2 linked regions of the Danio rerio genome follow. The protein of the gene in region 1 binds, or shares a complex with, the protein of each later gene. Links are inferred from orthologs where the notes say so. Each region holds a gene or a part of one and is shown in the gene's direction. Other genes may lie near its edges.

The links. The genes of interacting proteins can lie anywhere in the genome.
Region 2: the proteins of sem1 (region 1) and ints7 are in contact, whole or in part, in a cryo-EM structure (PDB 8YJB), measured with the Homo sapiens proteins. The link is inferred for Danio rerio from reciprocal best matches to the Homo sapiens genes SEM1 and INTS7. Residues at the interface, in NP_006295.1 of Homo sapiens: Ala36, His37, Val38, Trp39, Glu40, Asp41, Asn42, Trp43, Asp44, Val48, Glu49, Asp50, Phe52, Ser53, Gln55, Leu56, Arg57, Glu59, Leu60, Glu61, His63, Gly64, Tyr65, Lys66, Met67; in NP_056249.1 of Homo sapiens: Lys410, Leu413, Asn414, Val417, Leu448, His451, Cys452, Ala454, Ala455, Met458, Glu488, Val491, Thr495, Leu517, Glu518, Ser521, Asn522, Gly523, Trp524, Val526, Tyr527, Arg528, Arg531, Gln532, Arg535, Ser548, Leu549, Thr551, Gln552, Val553.

What each region holds. Positions count from the first base shown.
Region 1 is NC_133194.1:44,123,152-44,127,299, reverse strand, and holds the start of sem1 (26S proteasome complex subunit SEM1), read left to right. Parts: upstream 1-1,297; 5' UTR 1,298-1,657; coding exon 1,658-1,733; intron 1,734-2,205; coding exon 2,206-2,299; intron 2,300-4,148. UniProt on the Homo sapiens protein: Component of the 26S proteasome, a multiprotein complex involved in the ATP-dependent degradation of ubiquitinated proteins.
Region 2 is NC_133195.1:14,373,797-14,377,929, reverse strand, and holds the start of ints7 (integrator complex subunit 7), read left to right. Parts: upstream 1-1,302; 5' UTR 1,303-1,400; coding exon 1,401-1,494; intron 1,495-3,223; coding exon 3,224-3,353; intron 3,354-4,133. UniProt on the Homo sapiens protein: Component of the integrator complex, a multiprotein complex that terminates RNA polymerase II (Pol II) transcription in the promoter-proximal region of genes.

The sequences.
Region 1 (4,148 bases):
TAAAACCCAATAAGTTAAGGTAACTCAAACCATTTGAGGAAACCGATAGGAACAAAACATTTAAGTTCAAAAACTAATCCTAATGAGTGCTGTGAACTTAATCTATTTGAGTAAATGAACCAATTTGAGCACAGTAAACTCCAATAAATGAAAAGAACTCAAACCAACTGAGTACTGTAAAACCCAATACGTTTTCACTGTAAAAAGTGATTAGTTACTTAAAGCGAGTACACTAACTGCCTTAAAAGCAACAAGTTGACTTTACAAAAATAATGTAAGTAAACTCATTGTAACTTGGAACTGTAAAGTTGACTTAATTTTTATATTCATGCTAATTGTACTTAATTTTTAAAGTCAACTAATCCCTTTTTACAGTATCAGACTAATTTAGCACGTCTGTTTTTAAATAATTACTGTAATTATCACAGTAATACATATTTGATGCTTCATTAAGTCTATAAATTACACTTATAGCCTGTATTAAGGTAATAAAACCCACTGGAGTCTGGAAGAGCAGATTTATGAAACTGTCATTGTCCTGTAGATACAGAAAAGTTGGGGGGAAAAAAACTAAATACAATAAATGGGAAAAAGTGATTAGTTTACTTTTATTTTTAAAAAGTAAGTACAATTTGCATAATTATAAAAATTAAGTCAAGTGCAGTTTCAAGTTACTATGGGTTTAAACATTGAGTTCAAAACTCTTTTCAAATGAGTAGAACTAACTTTCAGTAAATTTTGAGTCAACTACACTCATTTTGTGTGATCAAGTTGACTGTTGGGTTTCACAGTGTGGTTCCTGGAAAAAAAAGGGTAAATCTTTTAACTATTTCTTGCAAAAAGGATACATTATTATAATATCCGATATAATATTTAAAAATGAAATCTGATAAACATATAATTAAAATGTGAACACATCAATTATGATTAATCTATTTATTGAAAACATATAAATATAAATAATATTTATAATATTTTTCCATACAACGTGAAAATAATAATAAAATATAATAATAATAATAATAATAATAATAGGCTTAATTTTTAAATCAAATATTTAAATTGTTATAATATGGATTATATTATATTATATTTATTGCGTATTTCATTCATTCATTCATATTCTTAGTTCCTTTATTAATCAGAGGTCGCCACAGCGGAATGAATCACCAACTTATCCAGCATATGTTTTACGCAGCGGATCCCCTTGCAGCTGCAAGCCATCATAAGCTAAATTGGCGGTAGTACATGTGTGTGAATGGGAGTGTATAAGTGTTTCCCAGTGATGGGTTGCAGCTGTAAGCGCATCCGCTGCGTAAAGCATGTGCTGAATCAGTTGGCGGTTCGTTCCGCTGTTTTTTTTAATACACCAGTGATTACTTTCAAAGTAGCCTACATTTAATCTATAATTGTAATACTGCAAGCACGTTGATAATATTAGAAGACTACTATAAACCATATGGCTCATTCGGCGATATCTATTATATAAAGCTTTTTATATAAACACTTCAAACTGCTTGGCTTATAAAAAGGCAGTGAAGCCCTTGTGCATGTTAAAAAGCTTGGCGCAATCGGTAGCACGGTTTTGCGCATGCGCACCAGAACATTTCTCTCAGTTCATAACGTCGAGTGTCCACGCTGTTCACAGAAACACAACATGTCAGAAAAGAAGCAAACAGTGGATTTGGGGCTTTTGGAGGAGGATGATGAATTTGAGGAATTCCCAGCAGAGGGTAAGTGAACTGAAAATGAACAGAAATTAGCTTTTTTTTGCTCGTTTTAGAGATAATAAACATCCACGACAGGACAGTGACTCAGCTAGCACAGCTAACGTAGCATGCTAACTGACAAAACATTCTTTATACAGCAAATTGTTAACATATCGTGTTTTTTAAAGGAATCTAATAATTATAAATTGTTTATACGTTTTTAAATAATACATCTGAGCGTGTTCTAAGTTAGTCCACAGCCGTGGAAAAAAAACGTTTTAGTAGTTAGCATTTTAGCATCTCTGAAGCTAATGTTATACATTGTGTACACTTGTCATTTGCTCAATTTGAAGTCAATGACTGCTTTTGTTAAACGTATGTATGTTTAATGCTCTGTACAGTCTGTTCTGTGACTCTTATTTGTGCATTAACATTAAGTCAACATTGAAGCCCGTGTTAATCATCTTATTGAACTGAGCTGTTGTCTCATTCTCAGACTGGACGGGCCTGGATGAAGATGAGGATGCTCATGTTTGGGAAGATAACTGGGATGACGACAACGTAGAGGATGACTTTTCTAATCAGCTGAGGTAGGAGATGCATTATCAATGTATAAATTATGTATATGAAATACGGGGCATGCTTTATTGTTGCACTAAATAAGGAGTATACTAGTTTAATCTAACTTCACAGTATGCAATTCCTGGTAAACATTATGGTGTTCTAGTGTCTCTTATAATCTGCTAGCATATTAACTTTCTGTCAAGCCCACATTTTGTCTAAAGAATTTGGTGTGGTTAAACTAATTTAGAAGAAAACCCTCCCTAAGGGAACTAATAGTCCAATGGCTAACCGACATTCATGGTGGCCTCAAACCACATTCACAAACTTTACTATCTGTGAGGACTTGGCCCAAGTACATACAGGCATTTAATATGCTTACATAGATGTTTAAAAGTATAAAATATAAGAGTAAGTTGCTATGTTATATAGTTTATGCTTCCTATCAAGGTTATTATAATTAAACATTTAACTATATATAAAAAAATGTCACTCGAAAATCTGTAAAAAATAAATAAATAAACCTTTGGTATATCAGTTTGTTGCTAATGTAAAAAGTTTTGTACTAAATTTTGTATGTACTATAAGGAAAAACATAAGCTGGAATCTAAATAATAAAAATTAAATGGGGATATTTGTTAAAAAAAAAGTAATGTTGTAAATACAAAAAAAAAACTTTATATCAAATAAAATAAAAAGAGCTCAGTTATAAAAACATAAATATAACCTAATCTTTGAGAATACCTCAAATAGAAATTCAAATAAATTTATACCAGTTTTTAAAAGGTTGATTAAAACACATTTTTAGAATTTAAATTTTTTAAAAATGGAAATAGAAAATTGAAAATAAAATCTTATTAAAAACTAAAATTCTATATAAAATTACTAAAATCTAATTATAGTAAAGTAACTTTTTTTCTCGGTACATTAAATTAAATACATTATTTTCTCTTTCCTGATGCTTATAAATAAAGCCAGACATTTTTTGTTATTTCTGCGCAGAATTATTTTAAAAATCTGTGGATTTATGCATAATGATTTTAGTAAAACTGTAACAAAACTTAAAGTATGAAATAAAAAAAAGAATATTTTTTTAAACTTTTTTTTTTTAGTGCTTAAAATGCAAATTCATATATGTAGATCCATTTATTGGGTAAACAACACAAGTCTGTCATAAAATATCCAATAAAAGACAGAAATTATTACTTTAAAAATTGTATTGTGAATAAATCAAAAGACCAATTTTTTTATATTAGGTCAATATTATTACAGAAATTGATTAAAAAAACTAAATAAATATAAATTTACTCACATTTACACAAGTAAATAAATGGACTCAGTGGTGGAATAAAAATCTGTGGTAATCTGTGTGCACAGATTTCATATGGGCCTATATATAAGCAATAAATCTGTTGACATTTCTCACAAATTCCCCATTTGATTTCCAGCACTATAAAAACTAACAGTTATAAGGGCTGTGCGATTTATTTGAAATTAGCATTTAGTTATGTACAATATTTTTGGATTATTTCATTTCCCCCGCCCAGAGCAAATGCGAGATTGCCGTCTGTGTGTGAATTCTTACTATCTAATTGAGTGAGCACACTTTCTGCCCAATCAGAATTGAATAGAATTGAACTCTGCGAAACGCCCATGATAAAAAACAAAAACAGGAAAGCGCAGACAAGTGGGATAATGGTATCTGCTGTTTCAAAAGCAATAATGAATTAACATAAAAGAAAAACAGCATTTGTTAATATGCGAATGTTTTGGTTTCAAACTCGCAGACACTGAACCAAACCAGGTCATTTTTAAGAGCTGTTGCAGAATTGTTGCTATTACTTGCAGATTATTGAGCTGAAGCTTGACTACAAAATG
Region 2 (4,133 bases), on another chromosome or scaffold:
TCCCGCGAACAATGAAAAAGCGCTGAAGACGAATTCCCCGCGAGATGGACGAACAGTGTTCTAATTGGTCGACACGTCAGGAAACAGGAAGTGTTAAGCCACTGCGAGCGGAGTGGAATGGCTGCGAACACTAGAGGCGCCATGTGGCCCCAAAAAAATCCGGGTTAACATTAACATTAACAATATATATATATATATATATATATATATATATATATATATATATATATATATATATATATATATATATATATATATATATATATATATATATATATATATATTCATTATTTCATTTATTTCCTTTTTGGCTTAGTACCTTTATTGTTTTGGAGTTGCCACTGCGGAATATGGTTTTACGCAGCGGATGCCCTTCCAGCTGCAACCCATAAGTGGTAAACATCCATACACACTCATTCACACACACACACAAACACACACACACACACACACACACACACACACACACACACACACACACACACACACACACACACACACACAAAATTTAGCCTACCCAGTTCACCTACAGCATATATTTTTTTAACCCACGCAAACACTGGAAGAACATGTAAACGCCACAGAAACACAAAAACTTAATCTTATTAAGAATAAAAAACCCTAAAATTCCTGAAATATTATACAGATGTAGGAGATGCTTAAGTTTAGTTGCTTTCCTTTTGGTTATTTGTTTAAGTGTCATTGTAATTTCATTCATTTGTTTAATTTAGTTTGTTTAATTTAGTAATTTTGTTATTATCATAATTTTATTATTATTAATATTATAATTATTAATATTTTCCCTTTCAGTCTAATGATATGTTATTTGTATGTGTTTGTGATAATTTTTATGACTGTGTATACTATTGATCATTTTAAAGTGATCTCTGGGATCCTTTGGATTTTGTTCTGATAGCAAGCAATAATATATATATATATATATATATATATATATATATATATATATATATATATATATATATATATATATATATATATATATATATATATATATATATATATATATATATATATATATATATATATATATATATATATATATATATATATATATATATAATTTTGCAAATGATTAAATAAAAATTATGATAGCATGAAGAGCCTAAAAGCTGAGCAGAGGTTTAGACTAATCAGGGTAAATGCCGACTCATAAGCCCCGCCTTCTTTGGTCACCTCTTTGGGTCGCTTTCGCTTCTAGCGTTCCTTGTAGCGCAACGGAAACCCGACGACGAAACTGGCGTTGTGCGTCACGTGACCTGCTTTACAACCGGGTCACACTTCAAACTTAATGCACAAAATCTCCATCTGATAAAACAAATAAAGTGTTAAATCCGAGAGCAGTCTATCGGGTTACATTTTTTGCAGTCTAATAATAAACAATGTCGCTTTCAGCAGCGCGTTCGTTTCTTTCGGAGGCGGCATACGGCGAGCAGGAGCTGGACGCCAATTCAGCGCTGATGGAGCTCGATAAAGGTGGCTCTTTATAAACAACACACGTGTATTTGTTTTTTGATGCAGTGTGTGTGTGTGCTATTTTAATGTTGAATATCATACATTGTATCTGTTCGCATGAAAAAGCTCTTCTATAATTTTATTATGTAGGCTACTACTGTACTTTAGTCTATACTGTGCTTTGTTTTCATTTTTACAGAATGTTTTAGGGATGTAACATATGTTATGGAAAGATCCAGAATTTACGCAACCGTCAAGTAGTTTGACTTTTATGAGTTTCTTCTTCTTTGCACACGCCACACGGGTGATAAAATGCTTTAATTTTAAACTACTAAGGTCTAAAAAGTGCTTAGATTATGGATGAAGTGCTTGGAAAGTAATTGCATTGCTTTCATAATCATTGATCTTACTGAACGTACAACATTGTTTACAGTCAAAAAATTGTGCTTATGTTGTTTTGAAGTCACACTTACATGTGATTTTATACTGAATATTCAAAGTACCATGGTAAACGCTATAGGGAGCGTGTCACAAGTTGTCAATGAACAAATGTACGAATATAAAACCAACTTTACCTGTCTTATTAAACGGGTAATAACAGTGAAAATTACTGTTTAAATAAAAGTATAATAACTCTCATTGCTTGTGCATAAAATGAAAATCTGGGGTCTGTACATAAGCCTGTAGCATGATCTGCCTTCTATCTTATTTTGTCTGCACTCCTTGAGTATAAGATGAAATTAGATACATCTAAGATTTAAGTAAATGACATTCATATAAAAAAAAATCTTATGAATAGAATCTGATAAAATGTAATAAAGCATGTGTGTGTATGTAAATGTGTAATATGCCACACATTTACATACACATGCATTCAAAAAATGTGCATCTGAAAAGTGCTTAAATTATATAAAAAAGCATGCTGCAAACACAAAAGAAGATACTTTGAACAATGTTCAAAATCAGTAACCTTTGACTTCCACAGTAGGACAACAAATGTAGGTCAATAGTTACAGGTTTACAGCTTTTTTCAAAATATTCAATTCAATTCAATTCAGCTTTATTTGTATAGCGCTTTTACAATGTACATTGTGTCAAAGCAGCTTCACATAAATGGTCATAGTAACTGGAACAGTGTGGTTCAGGTTTTAAAATATCTTCTTTAGTGTTCGACAGAGTAATAAAACTGAAATGGGTTTAGAAAACAAACAAAGGATGTGACACTAAAAAAGCAATACAGTTGAAGTCAGCATTAATAGCCCCCATTTGAATTGTTATTTTTTTTTTTCCAGAATAGTGTTTAACAGAGCAAGAAAACTTTCACAGTATGTCTGATAATATATTTTTTTCTTTTTGAGAAAGTCTTATTTGTTTTATTTCAGTAAGAATAAAAGCAGTTTTTATATTTTTAAGAAACATTTTAAGGTAAAAATTACTAGGCCCTTTAAGCTATATATTTTTCCGATAGTCTACAAAACAAACCATCGTTATAGAGTAACTTGACAAATGTATGCTGTTTGTTCATTTATTTAAAATTAACAGAAACAACACAATTGTTAAGTTTTATTTTGGGAACACTTAGTTGTTTTAGATTCAATCAACTAAAATTTGTAAAATCTAATAATATAACTTAATCCATTCATGCTATTGTGGAACCCAACATTTTTACAGAGTATGAATAAAAAACATACATATTTGAGCGTGAATCATTCCTTTTACTCACACACTTCTGATTTTGTCTTTGCTCCAGGTTTACGGTCTTGTAAACTGGGCGAGCAGTGTGAAGCCGTGGTCCTTTTTCCCAAACTCTTCCAGAAATACCCGTTCCCCATCCTCATCAACTCTGCCTTCCTGAAGCTGGCAGATATCTTCAGACTTGGGTAATTGCACATATAAATACATACGAATTATGTCATGTTTAATAGTTTAGATATGGTAACAAAATTGTCAATAGCTGCTTTTCCACTATCGTGCTGAATCGTTCTTTAAGCAGAACCGTTCCATTCCGTGCCAAACCAGGCCAGACAGGACGGATACGGTTTCATTTTCCACTGTCCTGCTGCGACAAAGCTCTTTAAAAACATTACACAAACCGCATCAGTAGTTGCCTTGGTTAACGCAATGTAAACAGCTCCCTTTGTTCAATTAAATTTAAATAATAGCCGAAACTAGTTTTTTTCATGTTCATAAAAGTGAAAGCAACCATGTGACTAGCACTGTTATGCCGCTCTATTAAATAGGGTTGCTAAATATAGGTAGGCTACATACGTCAGCACCCTTATTTATTTAGAGGTATGTTGTGCGGATCTGGCTAAATTTTATTTAGGGGGAAAATTACCAAAATATATCGTGATTAGGGATGTAACGATTTATCGTTGTACGATTTATTGCAATGCAAAAATGTCTCTATGCATCGTGGTGTTATGACGATTTGATTACGATATGACGTCCGTTTTCTCTTATTAGTTGAGCTGTTTGCACGTGAGCTACGTTCCACCTGCTGTCGCACGTGAGTTCAGATTGCAGCAGCAGTAATGTTAGCAGACCAAGATGAGTGGAGCTGATATAGAGGATGGCCCATCCTCTCAAAATCAGACGTCTGGCAACATTTCGGTTGTACAGTCATTGCTTTAGACTCGTCCGCTTTTTGACACGCATAC